3 linked regions of the Sus scrofa genome follow. The protein of the gene in region 2 interacts with the protein of the main gene of each other region in a biochemical or structural test. Links are inferred from orthologs where the notes say so. Each region holds a gene or a part of one and is shown on either strand. Other genes may lie near its edges.

Region 1 (4,664 bases), on a different chromosome or scaffold from region 2:
GACTATACAATACTCTGGTACTACCACATGTTTACAACCCAGAAAGCTGTATTTTTTTACTTTAGTGTCTGTAAATAGGGATTTAAAATGTGTATTTTTGAACACAGCAGTTGAGCTGGGAGTACATTTTTTATATCATACACAGAAGTTTACCTATCCTACTTCAAATAACTTCTCAGTTCCCAACCTGAACCCTAAACTCAAAAATCAACAGAAGTACAGAACGTGATAAAAGATAGGTTTGTTGTCTAAAGAAATAAGATTGTTTCCCTTGCTCAATACAGTATTCTGTCAGTGGCCAAACCACCGAAGTGTAAAGTAATAACTTACTTTATATCAGCACAAACATTGAAACACCGTTAGAAACACTTTCCCTTTTACAAAACAATTTATGCCAACATGACAAAAAATAGCCCCTCATACTAAGAACACAAGGGATCTCTTAAGTTATTTCACTGTAGTATTAAAAAATGCACAATTTAAAATCCCTTAACAGCAGACCTGCGGTTCTGGCTGTCTGGTTCAGAATCTCACCATTCCAAGGAAGATAAAGGTATAAAAGCTTAAAATGTGCAATAATAAACCCAGCCTTTTTTCTTTTTCTATACAGTAAGGCAAGAAATGCAGCCTGTAATGCAAAACGTTTACAAAAAGAGAAAAGCAGGTTAGCACATTGTTGATTGCACAAGAACAGTTAAGAAAATCAGCAGGTAAGCCACAGTGCAAAGATGGAACAGAATCTGCTAGTGTTAATCCTCTCACGCCAGGAGCTCTTTCCAGCATAATGTCCCCAAACACTGCCAGCACCAAAGGGTGGAGCCAGTATATTGTGTGAACTGCAGTTGTGTCTATTTCCTTATATGAAATGAAAGGGAGAAACATGGTCACATACAGGTCATACTGTACAAACTGGTATTTTATACTGTTCCAATGCCAGTAATCAATTTATTTTCTTCATTAAAATAATATACACAGAATGTATTGTTAGTTCGGTTCCTTCAAATTTTATACATATTTACTTTCTGCTAAAGAGGAAAAGATAAAATGGTGTAAAAAAAAAAAGATAAAGCTATTAATTAAACACAAGAGAAAAGATAAATGGATATTTTCCCCGTGCAAGGCTAAGACAGAAGCAAACCTCCTCAAGAAAAATGCCACCCACACAACAGGGAATTTATCCAACAAAAACAAAAACAAAAGGTGTTATAAGAACCCCTTCTCTATCATCAGAAGTCATTTCACAGCAATAAACTTACGGGTTACAACAGACATACTTGAACAGCTAAAGATGGGAAGAAAGGCTTAAGACATCATCAAATTAAACCGTACAATGAGACAAAGCCTTGCCAAAAAGAGGAAGGGGTAAAAATCAAGTCCGGCATCAGTGCTCAGTTTAAATCATGTATTGGTGACATACCTATCACGAGGACAATCAAGGGGGAAAAAAAGTCTAGATTTACCATGCAGGAGAGATTTATTACTCTACTTGCCTTTGATAACCTGATTACATCTAGTTGTTTAGCAGTTTAGTATCGTGTTAAACTGTTTTTTACAACAGAGTTGTTTTTTTCTTTTTAATTAAACCCAGTAAGATGTACAGAAGACAATGAGGCAGTAAAAAGTACTGCTTCCAACAGACAGAGGTGAAAGGTCAAATGAGAGCCACGGCAAAGAGGTCACTAGCAACCACAGCCTTCTCTCTGGGGTTGGGGTTCACTGGTTAGCCGGCCTCCTTGTGGGGCTGAAGGTTTGTGTTGTACACCAGACTCGGCAGCATTCAGATCCAAGCTTCCATCCTGAATGTTCTGATAGATTTTCTTGGCAGCCTCAAGGAAAGCATCTTCTACGTTCTCTCCCCTAAGAGGCAATCGACACCTTTACTGGTGGAACATAGCTTTCAATGAAAGATGAGACTTTATACAATGACCTCTGCTAACCTTTAGTCAACTACCATGGTGTCTTCAACTTAGCCACTGTCATCTAATAAGGGATTACCACAAGACTGAGCTAAGAGAATAACATGGGAAAATATTTTCCATGGAAAGCATATAAGCACAATACTAACAGCTGTTTCTACAAATTCTGTGTGTTCTAAATCATTAAAATGCTATGTATAAATGTGTAACAAGAATTAAGATAGGCCATTTCTTGAATAAAAGAAGCTGTTCTAAAGAGAAATGATATTATCTCCAAATGTATGCAGAAAAGTATTTTAGGATTTGTAGGGTCTGATTAGCCAAGCACCAACTGTACCGTTCTTAGCATGCTTAGCCATGTTCACACTCCAGTTCAGTTCTCTTAGGACTAACAGGTATAGATTAGGCTTAATAAAAGGGGGCTAGCTTCTCACCACTGCAGGGAATTTGGGGCTTAATAGAGAACTATGATAGAATCTTGGGGCTCAATAATGGACATAAAACAACTAGAAAGTATGCTTCTAATTATTCTTAGACATTAAGTTGTGCTTTTCACTGTGATCAAAAGTATTAAATGAACAGGTTGAAAAACCTTGAGTCCGGGATACCAAATTCAACCTCGGCTATGAAAGTCAAAACACTTTTGAAATGTTAATTTCATTTATTAACCTGGATTACCAATGAGCATAGTCAAGGTATATTATTTTAGGGAAAGTAACGTGAAATTATTATTTTTAAATGTGAAACAGGAAGCAAAGGGATGTTTGCTGTTTTTCCTGCCATAAAGCATTACATATTTATATATTATATGTATATACACTATATACATATGGTCCTACTTTGAGAAATCTGAATATAATTAAAAATGATCTAACTTTAGCCATACTTACGTTTTTGCACTTGCTTCAAGGAACAATAAGCCTAAAAACAAAATTCAGACTATGAAAGACATTTCAAATTAACTCACAAGGACAGTAACATCCTGAGTAATATCTGAATCAGTTTCCCATCAGTTTTCAGTACTCCTACCACAGTATTTTATGAAAGACTATATAAGTTTGAGATGGAGGGATTCTTTATATTTGTCATTAAATAATTGTACTGCCCCCTACATGAATCTCAAATAGAAACATATTTTGTTATTTGCTCATTCCTAAGATTTGAGTTTGAATTTTTAAAAAATTGTCAATCTGCATTGACAAAATCCCACTTATCCTTAGAAATTTTCCCAAGTGTGACCTAAAAAAGCCATTATTAAAAGTCTTAAAAGAAACCCACCATTTTCTTCAGCAAACTGTTTGGCTTCTTCATATGTAACATCTCTTTGTGCCTCCAAATCTGCTTTATTTCCTATGAGAATTATTACCTAGTTTGTGATCAAAAGAAACACATCTTAAAACAAACGCAACCATTTAAATCAAACATGAAAATTCTGAAATCCAAAAAATCTTGAAGGAAAAAACATGTGGGCCTAAAAAGGAACTAGCAATTAACCATCAGACAGGACTACAGAAGGCATTCATGAAGGTATTAGTATGAAGAGGGATCTCGGCAATTACTTAGACCAGAAGTAGACAAACTTTCTGTAAAGAGCAAAATGTATTTCAGGTTTGTGGTCTCTTCGCATATACTTCTTAAACCTTTTTTTTTAACAACCCTACAAACACATAAAAACCATGCTCCGCTCTGAAGCCATTTAAAAACAGCCCTGTTTTGTTTTTGTGTGCCTGAGATACATCTGATCTGGGCCAAAGATTATGATTTATCTGAGTAGACTATGAAGGGTCCATGGACAAGTTCCAGAGCATCTATAAGAAATTAAGTACAAAATGCTGTAAATGAGGACATTCTCTGAAAGAGAAGGTTTGTGACTTTCATCAGATTTTCACAAGTTTCTGAGACCCTTAGAAAGTTTTAAAACTACTAGTTCACTTTCTTCAGCCTGTAAGTAAGGCAATTAATGTTCAAAAGAAGGACCTGTCAATGGTAAAAAAAAAAAAAAAAAAAAACTCGGGTAGAAAACCTAAACTGTAACCTTCAAATACTGTCCTCCCCTTACACTATCCCTAAGGCTGGGCTAAGTTTGTTGCAACTGGTAACAAATGACTGTATCCACGATGGGGGGCAGTGGGGGTTGGAAGACACATATTTGGTGATTTCAAATTCAAGGCAAAATATTACACACACATCCACTTTGGAATCATTTATACATGTGAAGTTAGGCCAAAGTTAAAGACAGCTCTGAAAAGTTCTAAGAAAAAAGTGTACAACTTTGGGTAGCAGTGCTTTGGCCTTTACTGGCACAGGCCAGGGGATAAATTAATTCTGCCTATATATTTTTTGACACCAACTGGCAAACCCACCCGACCCCCTTTCTCCCCTGAACAGATGTGGTAATCCAGATAAAGATACTTTAGAAATGCATGGTTTCAACTAAAAGGGCTTCCACCATTAACTTCGTTTCATGTGAAATTACAGTCCCTAGCTTTTTACTTTCAAAAACTGGTGTCCAATGAACCATTCTGACCAGAATGTAAACCTTGAGCAAGGACAGTTCCGTAGTACAACAAAAGTGAGCCATCTTCAATCAGTATGGACAAGTACCCATTGAGAAGGGAAAGAAGTTTTCACATACAGTCCACTAGTCTTTAAAGAATTAGGTAATGAAACTTTAAAAAGGAAATCAAGTTTTTTAAAAGTTAAAGGTGGTGAAGTCACAATGGCTCAGTAGTAAAGGGCCATTATAAG
Region 2 (4,747 bases):
AGCCTTCTTCATAGGGTGCTCTCCAGCGTATGCTAGAGCAGACACCCTAATGTCTCTAGGCATCTGACTTCCAGGGCACCACAGGTCAGAAGCAGCAAATTGTTACAGCAGCTAACAGCAGCCTGGACTTACAGTTTACATCAATTTATTTTATTGTCCCTTGTAGACCAAAAGTTTCTTGGACGTTAATCCTGTGAGCTATTTTGCCTTTATATCCCCTGCACTGCACAGAAGTATTTGCACAAAATGTCAGCTCACAGTGCCAGAGGGAGGGTAAAAATCATAAAATAGGACTCTAGAGCTGCTATGGAACGCAGGTTGAAAGCCCTGGGCACGGTGGTGCAACTCCCAATCATTAGATTTCTGAGTTATCAGGAAAGTGATGGCTAACAGATACTAAGGAACCAGAAAAGTATCCCAAGCCCTTGACCACCTCAGTCCCTGAGGCTGAATAAATCCTTTTTTTTTTCTTTTTAGGGCCGCAGGTACGGCATATGGAAGTTCCTAGGCTAGGGGTTGAATCAGAGCTGCAGCTGCCAGCCCATGCCACAGCCACAGCAATGCAGGACCTGCATCACAGCTCAAGGCAACGCCAGATCCTTAACCCACTGAGCAAGGCCAGCGATCAAACCCGTGTCCTTGTGGATACATGACGGATTCATTTCTGCTGAGCCACAACAGGAACTCCTGAAGAAATCCTAATCTTATCTCTAAGTAAACCTCCAAAAGGCATCTTTCAAAGCCTCAGTTGCTTCCTCTGCAGAATGGAGACATCTGCCTCCCACAATGCTCCAAGGACCTGGGGCTCAGTGTGTGTGGAGGTCTTCCAGCCTCTCCAGCACGTTGCCTTCTGTCTCTTGGTAGGAACCCCTGTCACAGATTTCTTTCTCCTACCAGTTCAGGAGGCACTTTGGATAATGTCTCAGCCAAGGCTGGGATTGCAAGCACCAGATTGATTCTGGTTACCTCAGCCAAAAGGCATTTATTGAAAGGGGGTGGGTGAGTCTCAGGTTAACAGAATGCAGGAGAATCTGGCTTGAGGCCCAGGGGGCAACCTGCGGAGACCAGGACAGGCAGTCTGCAGCATGTGCGATCCAGAGGGAAGCAGTCCTGTGTGCCCCCTCTAGTGGAGAAGAGGCAGTCCCTAAGAAGGAAACCAGGTGCAATTAGGGACAGCAGATGCTGGGCTGAAGAGTAACTAAAAATTCTTTAGGAACCAAGCCGTAAACTGAGATTCTGTGGTGTTCTTGCCTCCTCAGGGCCACACCTGGTTGAAAGATGATGAAGCAACACACTGTAAGCAGTGTGAAAAGGAGTTCTCCATTTCCCGGAGAAAGGTATGTGGGGTAGTCCTCCACCTGCTTACCCTGTCTGGGCTTCCATTCCTCTGGTTCTGGAGGAGGCCTGTGGGACTAGGCCCCCACATTGTGATCATGCTCACTGGTCTGCTGGTCCATACAGATGACCCCCCAGCCAGTTTGTCACAGGCCTTGTCTCCACTACAGTCCTCGCAATGATTTTGGAGTGGGGGCTGCTTACATACAAACTTCTCTAGGTGTGTGCATCAAATGAGAATTCTTCATAAGCAAGAGGACCAAACTCTGGCCACATTAGGTAAAAACAGTCTATGGGGAACCTATAGGCAGCAGGTCTCAGGACATGCATCCAGGTGGCACCTAAAGCACAATGGCATCCTGGGCAGGGCACTGTCCCCCTATGAATCGGCCTCTGCCTGTGTAGCCTGCCTTCAGGGTCTGGGATCATAAGGTCCTGGGCCCAGCCTTTGGTCCAGTTGACAGGGCCTTGATTGACCAGTATGGGCAGGACAGGGGCAGGATATAGACCCCACAAAAAATAGCCTGGAGTTCCCGTTGTGGCACAGCGGAGGCGAATCCAACTAGGAACTATGAGGTTGCGGGTCCAATCCCTGGCCTCACTCAGTGGGTTGATCCGGCATTGCCGTGAACTGTGGTGTAGGTCACAGACGCAGCTTGGATCTGGTGTTGCTGTGGCTGTGGCATAGGCCGGCAGCAACAGCTCTGATTCGACCCCTAGCCTGGGAACCTCCATATGCAGCCAGTGGGACAAAACAAACAGCCTTTGCTAAAAAAAATGCCTGCCACTACCATGTGGATGCCTGTCCTCATCCGCCCCATTAACAGCCTCCCTGTGGAAGAGAGGGAACAAAACTCCCAAATCCCTGTCAGGGCCTTAGAGTAGGTTCAGAGCTAGAAAACAACCCTCCTGAGGCTGCCTTTGAGATCACGCTTGTCCACAAGGCCTGGCTATCCCACACCTGGGTGGTCCAGTTCAAGTCCACTGTCTATCCTGATTGGGGGGATGGGAGGCAGAACCTGGAGGAGTAGGGACCACAAGGGTACTTGTCCAGGCATCTGCCATGTGCCCAAGACTCCCCTCTCAGGAGGGGCTTAGCTAAATAAACCTTGGGTCACCACCATGGAAAGCAATTACAGGGGATATACCAGGCAGGCTTTAAGTAGCACAGACTACCAACTCATGGACGGAGTTGTCAAGTCCAGTTAAACAATTTAAAGAAAAAGAACTGTAGGGAGTTCCCTAGTGATGCAGCAGGTTTAAGGATCCAGCGTTGTCACTGCAGTGGCATGGGTCCAGTCCCTGACCTGGGAACTTCCATATGCCACAGCCATGCCCCCCCCACCACAAGAGGGAAAAAGAACCTTACTCTTAGCACTGTATACCTCTCCGCCAACATTCCATGGATTAATTCACAGGAACATAAACATAGAAACAAGAGGTCTACAAGAACCCCTTCCAAATGGCTAAGTTCCTCTGGGGAGGGATTTTAAAGCATTAAATGGACTTTTAAAGGTTGGTAAAAATAAAAGAGTGGGCTTTGCAGACCCAGGGAGCTCAGCATTTTGTGACTGCCTCTCTTCCATCCTCTAGCACCACTGCCGAAACTGTGGCCACATCTTCTGCAACACATGTTCCAGTAATGAGCTGGCCCTGCCCTCCTATCCCAAGCCAGTGCGTGTGTGTGACAGCTGCCACACCCTGCTCCTTCAACGTTGCTCCTCCTCCACAGGCTCCTAAGGTGGGGGCATCAGCAGGGCCTGCTTTCTGAACCAGTTGCAACGTTTTCAGCGGCGTAGGCAGCCCCACAACAGTGCCAAACTCTTTGGGTCTCCAGGTGGCTAGGGGCTTGGGAGGTTGGTTTCCCAAGAGAATTAAAGGATGAGCTCCTCACCTGGGCTGCCGACACTTGGGAACAAAGCACACGGGACTGGAAGCTGCACACCTCCCTTTCCAAATTGTATGGAATCAGTTCCTCTGGATTGAAACTTTTCTCACTCGCCATCTCTGGCTTTGGTTCAAATAGAACTTCATGATTTTGCTGTTGTCACCTTTCACTTTCCAATTAACCTGTTTTTGCAGCAGTCCCACTAGTGAAGTAATCATAATCAGTTCCTTCCTCTCCCCCATCCCTAACCCACCCCCCCAGTGTGTCCTCTCAAAAGTCAAGAAATCTGCCATTTCCACACTCTTGTGAATATCCATCATTAGCCCTGCAATAAATTCATTTATTTTTCACTCTGGTGCAGAAAAAGAAACATGTGTCAACTTCACTGGAGGATGCCCAGAGCAACCCACATTTCAGGACTAGAGGCCTCTGGTGAGAGCAGCTGCGTGTGAGGTGAAGTTAAGCCTGCTGGGTTCTGGGGTACAGACTGTGCTCTGCCCAGTTGAGCCATCAACAGGCATGGAGGAAGTACCTGTCACCAAAGCTCAAAAATAAGGAATTAATGTAGGTGATAACAGAGATACCTATAGGTATCAAAACGTCAGGGTCGTTTTGAATTTCACCAACAGGACAGGTGCTGTTATAGGCCATGGAAAACTGTTCAGAGCCTAGGAACAGAGGGCTGGAGCCCACCTGAGCCTATGCTCACCACCCCACCCGAGGTAATGGCCTTGAATGCCCAGATCGCAGACTATACTAAGTACTATAAAATGTAGTCAGACAAGTCAGTCCACCCATCTGTGGGGCCTCAGCCTATTCCACCCTCAGTGAACTAGCTCACACCTTGCTCACTGCCCATCTGTACCTCCCACAAGTTCTCTAGCCTGGTCTTTGAGGCCCTAGCTCTCTTCCTTTAGGGGCTGTCCCAGCAGGCTTACCCACAGCCTGGAAACATGGAAGTGGACCTTCCATGTTAGATCCCAGTGATCTGTGTGTACAGCACCAAAGCTGCAGATTTTCAAGCCCTTTTAGGGAGGCACATGGGCTGCAGAAGGGGCCTCCCTCCTTCTAATTTAATCTGAGCAGTTTTTTGGCACCCCATTCAGGGGCCAGCTTTTCTTAAAGTTTACATACCACTGCACTACCCTAACTGGTCTAGCATTAGATATCTGTACCTTGTTTTCAATGCACCCACTTTGGACTCCAGCTTGCTGGGAAGCCTTAGGCAAGTCACTTCACTTCTGAGCCTTAGCTCTCATCTGCACACATAAAAAAGCAAGATAATACCTCCTTACTCCAAGACTGTTCTGACAGCTCTGCCACTGCCAAGCAAAGTGCTATTTTCTTTTTCCAACCTGACCCCGCCACACACACACCCATGGCCCAATCATACTAAAAGATGTTGGGCGACGAGCACTCACAAAGGATCCTTCTGCCAATAGTTAGCTATGTGGAAGACAGTTTTTCTAAGACCTAGAATAGGTACCTGAACTTTGGAACCGTCATTTTCTGGTTTAGCAAACT
Region 3 (5,513 bases), on a different chromosome or scaffold from region 2:
GTTTTATATGAGTAACTTACATGCACTGTAGCCATATAGGCAATATTAAAGTGGGAAGGTAATTTACATAAAACTTCATGTTTAATATGAGCTTACCTCAACACTATGCCAGTTTTTTAATGCTAACTATTTATACTACTGAGTCTTTAAAAATAACTGTTTTGTACCAAGTTGAGTAAATTTTTTGTTCCTGTTTTCAGATCTAAAGACCACAGACAGTTGAAGTGAAGCCAGCCCTTTGTTTGAGCCCCGACACTCTGCCTTGTCTGCTCCCCTCCCCCTGACCCATTTTGGTCAGCTCCCCTCCTTCCTTCTCTCTTCTACCTTACTCTCTTCTCTCTCAGCATTTAAAGGTGTTAAATCTCTTTTGTTCCTGACACCTCTCCTATTAAATTAGCGTTCCGCCGCCTCCTCCAGGGAGGCATCCAGTCTCTGCTTCCTCTTTGTATCCTGTCTTCTGCCTTTGTCATTCTGCTGGTAAAGATGACCAAAGATTTCCTACTGCCCAGCCCCTGGGATATTTTTAAGCTTAGGTCTCAGCTTATAAGACTTCCTCTACTGTATCTGATAATGAATGATCCTTTGGTGGAATTGGGGCTGGAGTGACACATCTGGCTCTCTTCACACATCTCTAACATCTCCCCTCCTCTCTATCCTTTAGGGTCTCCAGGGTTTTGCTCCGGGTCACTGCTCTTCCCACTGCTCTCTGGATGATCACACTTCTTCAGAGTTGTCACCACTGATATTTAGCATCTGAATCCTGGTGCCACCGCCAAATAGTTCTTAGATTCATCTGTATCTCTTCATCTCTGCTTCCACATCCCTGTTTATAGCTTTAATCAGTCACCTTTTTGGGATCACTCAAAAATGCTTTAACTGGCATCCTGGCCTTCAGCCCTGTGATCCCTCCAGTCTATCCTTGACAAGGCTACCTACACATGTGATCTGTCCCCAGTCACAACCTGACCATATCACTCACTGCTCACCACCCCAAAGGGCTTCTCACCCCCACAGCAGTGGTTCTCAATCTCAGATGAATATCAGAATTAATCACATGAAAGAGTGGATGCCTAGGCCTTATTTCCACATCTCCAGAAGCAGGGCCTGGAATCCAAATCTGCCTGCATCCCAGGTGACTCTGGTGCACAGCCAGTGAAGACTTAGTAACAAGGTAAAGTTCCAGATCTTAGACCACAATGACTGGCCTGGATGCTGCTTCTCCTCTGCATCGTCTCCTGCCATTCCCTGCTGAAGTCCTTCTGTTCCAGTAACTCTAGCTTCCCCCCATTCTCAACTCATGCTGTCCCTCTGCCAGCCTACCCTCCTTCTCACTCCCTTGCTCACTCTTCCTCCTCACATCTGAAAAGCCTGAGCTCAGTCACCAACTCCTCCTGGAAGCCTTTCCTGATAGCACTTCCTGAATAGGTGGGTTTCCCTTCTTGTTGTGGCCCAGATCCCATGCTTGTCTCAAGTACTGTATCGACCACACTGCATTATAATTATTTTTTGACTGTTTCCCATGACAGTTTCTTGAGGGCAAGGGTTGTGATTAATTTACTTTGGTGTCTCAGCTCCTGACAAAGAATAGGCACAGGTAGTTGAATGACTCAATGAAAAACTGAAGTCCACATATAACTTTGGTGACATTTAAATAAAAATTAACTTCAATAAATGATTAACTGCATGTTATTTTGTCAGCTGCTTACATTAAGGTTATTTAAAATTTATTTTTACTGAAGCAACAAATAGAACAGTAATGAGACAGGTGATTACTGAGACCTGCTCAGTTAGCTTCAGAAATAAACTCTTCACGATACCCAAACCACGGGCCCAGCAGAGTGAGCAAGCTGTTGATAGGGATGGACAAAGGTCCATTCTTCCTTAAATGATGGGTCAAAAAAGGCTGTGGTTCGAAAAAGCAAACACCAGCTGACACCCTGACCCTTGTCTCTTTCATCAGTGGGGCAAAAAAAACCACTGGGCAAGAGGGGTGGTGCACAAGACCTTTGAACCCACAAGTGGCAGCTGAAGGTCGGCAGGTGTAGAGAGAATAAATACCCTTGACCAAATCACTCCTGGAAATACTGAAAAGTGATACTGTTGAGGCAAAGAGTAAAATATGCTAAAGAAAAGTTTATTAACGGAAAGCCTTTTTTACCTGATTCAATTTTGTTAAGTATTTTTCTTGCACACTGTACAAAGGCCTCTTCTACGTTCTCCCCTGTTAGTGCACTTGTTTCCAAAAACATCAGCTCTAAAATTGACATCAAACAAAACACGAAGCCATGTTTAGAAGACAATTGCAATTATTCAATTAATAACTGCCTGTTTAATATTCTCTTAGAATGGCAGGCAAAATGTAATTTATTACTTAAAACCATGTATTTCTGCAAATATAAAATTAATATGTGTCAAGATACTTTTTTTAAATATTAGAAGAGTTCTAACTTTTGATGAAAAGTAACTAGTATTTTGTTCTAGCATTTAAATCAAATAAACTAAGCTAGCTAGAGGCTGGTTAAGGAAGTGGGCTGGCTGATACTGCCCAGCTGTTGATATAAGACAAAGGAGCCATTTCCTTTCCAATAGCCTTTATGTGACCACAAACGCAACCTGCAATCCTGGGGGGGATTACAGGGCGGGCAGTATGCCATCCTGACAGTGAAGGGATCCTGTATGAAGGTGGGCTCTTCTTCCCCCACCCCCTCCACACCCATGACATGTGGAAGTTCCAGGGCCAGGGATGGAACTCACACCACAGCACTGACAAGACTGGGCCTTTAACTTGCTGAGCCACCAGGGAACTCCAAGGAGTGCTCTTCTTATCCACCAGCTGGTATCTCACCCAGCAGAAAAGTCGCTCTCCTGAGCAAACCCTAACCTCTCCGGACACTGGCTTCCTTGCTTGCAAAAATGAGGTTTATTTAAATAACAAATAAATTCCTTTGAAGCTCTAACATTCTAAGCTTGCATACTTCTTAACAGCTTCTTTATAAACTCAACACGGCTTATGTTTTCAGTGCATGTTTATTTTCTCAGCAGAAAACTTGTTAATTTGCAACAGTATAATTTGGCAGTCCTAGAGTCCATATGAAAATTGATATCAGGATATTTTAGTTCTAAAAATTAAAGTTATTTAAAAACATCTGATTCCTTATCATTCTGCTGTCTCTAAGCAACCATTCATTTTATGTGTTATCCTCAGGTATTCTATATGGAAATTTAGAGAAGTTTCAAAAGCATCTACAGCCAAATGACTTAAATTTACTGTAAGTAAAATAAAGCCAATTAAGTCCAGTATTTCTTCTATTGCTTCTCTCTCTATTTAGTAACCAACTTAGCTTCAAGTTACATTTAAAAAAAAAGATGACATCATCTGATTAGGGGTTTTAGAAATTATTGTTACAAATTTCATTTAAACCAAGAGCTATAATACTCAAAAATCCTCGACTGAAATGTCATCACAGAATACTACGAAATGTACTTTTAGCATTACAGTAACTTTGTAGGCAGAATGTAACACGACAAAAATATGCCAAATAGGTTTAGGTTTATAAGGAAGTTTCGCATTTCCTAAATATGGTTCAATCTTAAAACTCCAATAGATGTGTAAAAGGTCACTTGCCGTTTTCTTGAGCAAATCTGGAGGCTTCTAAGAAAGTGACTTCACGATCAGCGTCCAGGTCCTTCTTGTTCCCACAGAGGATGATCACAATGTTCTGACTCGCTAGCATTCTGGCATCTGTTAACCAATTAGTAAGCGCATTGTAGGTTTCTCGGCTGCGTAATATAAGATTGTGAAAATAGCACATGTATTTTATAAAGCTAGCAACTCTTTCCAGTCATTCACACCACTCACACCACTTCTACACATGAAGGGCAACACCACCAACCTTACAGGTAACTGAGGTAACCTGAATGCCCCAGTGCACGCTATAGCCACAGACACCATGGCCACAGGGTGTGTTTCATTTTGTTTCCAGGAAAATGAGCAGCAAGTCAGAGAGCTTGCTGTTTGTGGTCTTCCCAATCAGGGTGCAAAAGGAAACAGAAGTTCCCTTGTTCATTTTACAGTAGTTGAGCTTTTATGCACAACAGGGTGATCAAGACCTAAGCTAACTGCTGCCATGCAAGGACCCTGCAACATACTTTGCTTTGTTTCACAGGGTTTATCACACTGACTCTCTGTGAAGACTCCATGACATTGACTCTTATTATCTTCCTCCTCCAGAAGAAACCTGAGCCCAGAGACACGAGCAGCCATTGGTCAAGCCAGGACCTGACCAGGTCCATCACCTGCAGAACTGTCTGCAGCCCTCACATATCTAAGGACAGATTTCCTCCCCTGGCCCACTTTGTGCCTGGTGGCTTCACTTTAGCAAACTGAACCTTTGCCATCCAGGCAGATGCAGAGAGCCTGGCAAGGAGCTGCCCACCTCTTTGCCAGAGCCCCTTGTTCTGGACCTAGGTTGGGTGTGTGTCACAGCAGCAGGGTGATACTCTCTCAGATGACATGTTTATAGGTGGTGCTGGCAAACACTGAGGTCAGCACCATCTGATGGCATTTCTTTAAGACAGGAAGTTCTACCACCTGCACTGTTCAACATAGCACTTCTGAGCACTTGAAATGGGAGAGTGAGACCAAGGAACTGAATATTTAATTAATTAAACTTAATTGAGATACCCGGGTGATAGCTACACACAGGACAGTGCACTCAGATCCTTATGATGTGCCAAGAGCTTTCTATTAACCAATCTAACCGCCCAAAAAGCTCATGAGTGCTGTACGGCCCTCCTTACGCCTTAAAACAGACAAGGAAACTAAAGTCCTGACAACCAAAGCCCCTCACCTGAGGACTCACATAGCTAGTGACTGACTGGGATTTGAACTCAGGCAATCAAGCTGAGAGCCTGTGCTTGGCGGACGCCAATTACTTCTAACAATTTACCACAGACAAAGCTTCATTTTGCAAACCCTAAGCAAAGTGCCAGAACATCATGCAGAAACTTAGTGAAACATGGGGATGCTTAATCTATCTAAGCTGTGTACTTTTTTACGAGCTAAAGCAGTGGAGGGGCTGGTTCAAAAACCTCCAAGACCCCTGTGGAAAGGGCTGAGGGGCTTCCTGCCTGCGGGCCATGCTGCTGGGGGCTGATGTTTATGGCGCAGCCCACAGGGAGGCATGGACCTGGGAGAGCAGAGAGATGGCCTCTTCCACCAGCAGGGGTGGGGTGGGGTGGGCGAGGGTGTCATTACCTGGTAATGTCATAGACCAGGAGCGCCCCTGCTGCACCTCTATAGTAGCTTCGCGTCACAGACCTGGAAGAGATACATTATTTTACTTTCAACCGATCAGAGCCTTTAATCCTGAGGACCATCTTCCCACACCAGTTTTTGCCTTGAAGACCTCCATAGATGGACAGATATAACTTTAAAGAGAAATGACGCCAAGTCATTTGAACCTGAGGAGCTATTCTATCTACAATTGTGTCCTAGGAGGGCAGGGGGTGGG

Evidence for each region.
Region 1: the proteins of RUFY1 (region 2) and RAB14 form a complex in vitro, tested with the Homo sapiens proteins (2 studies listed by BioGRID). The link is inferred for Sus scrofa from reciprocal best matches to the Homo sapiens genes RUFY1 and RAB14.
Region 3: the proteins of RUFY1 (region 2) and RAB4A form a complex in vitro, tested with the Homo sapiens proteins (2 studies listed by BioGRID). The link is inferred for Sus scrofa from reciprocal best matches to the Homo sapiens genes RUFY1 and RAB4A.

What each region holds. Positions count from the first base shown.
Region 1 is NC_010443.5:261,229,147-261,233,810, forward strand, and holds part of RAB14 (ras-related protein Rab-14), read right to left. Parts: intron 3,283-4,664; coding exon 3,195-3,282; intron 2,838-3,194; coding exon 2,807-2,837; intron 1,858-2,806; coding exon 1,680-1,857; 3' UTR 1-1,679.
Region 2 is NC_010444.4:78,973,207-78,977,953, reverse strand, and holds the end of RUFY1 (RUN and FYVE domain-containing protein 1), read left to right. Parts: intron 1-1,259; coding exon 1,260-1,337; intron 1,338-2,928; coding exon 2,929-3,075; 3' UTR 3,076-3,593; downstream 3,594-4,747. UniProt on the Homo sapiens protein: Activating adapter involved in cargo sorting from early/recycling endosomes. Regulates retrieval of proteins from endosomes to the trans-Golgi network through interaction with the dynein-dynactin complex.
Region 3 is NC_010456.5:60,489,244-60,494,756, forward strand, and holds part of RAB4A (ras-related protein Rab-4A), read right to left. Parts: intron 5,321-5,513; coding exon 5,258-5,320; intron 3,781-5,257; coding exon 3,626-3,780; intron 2,255-3,625; coding exon 2,159-2,254; intron 1-2,158. UniProt on the Homo sapiens protein: The small GTPases Rab are key regulators of intracellular membrane trafficking, from the formation of transport vesicles to their fusion with membranes.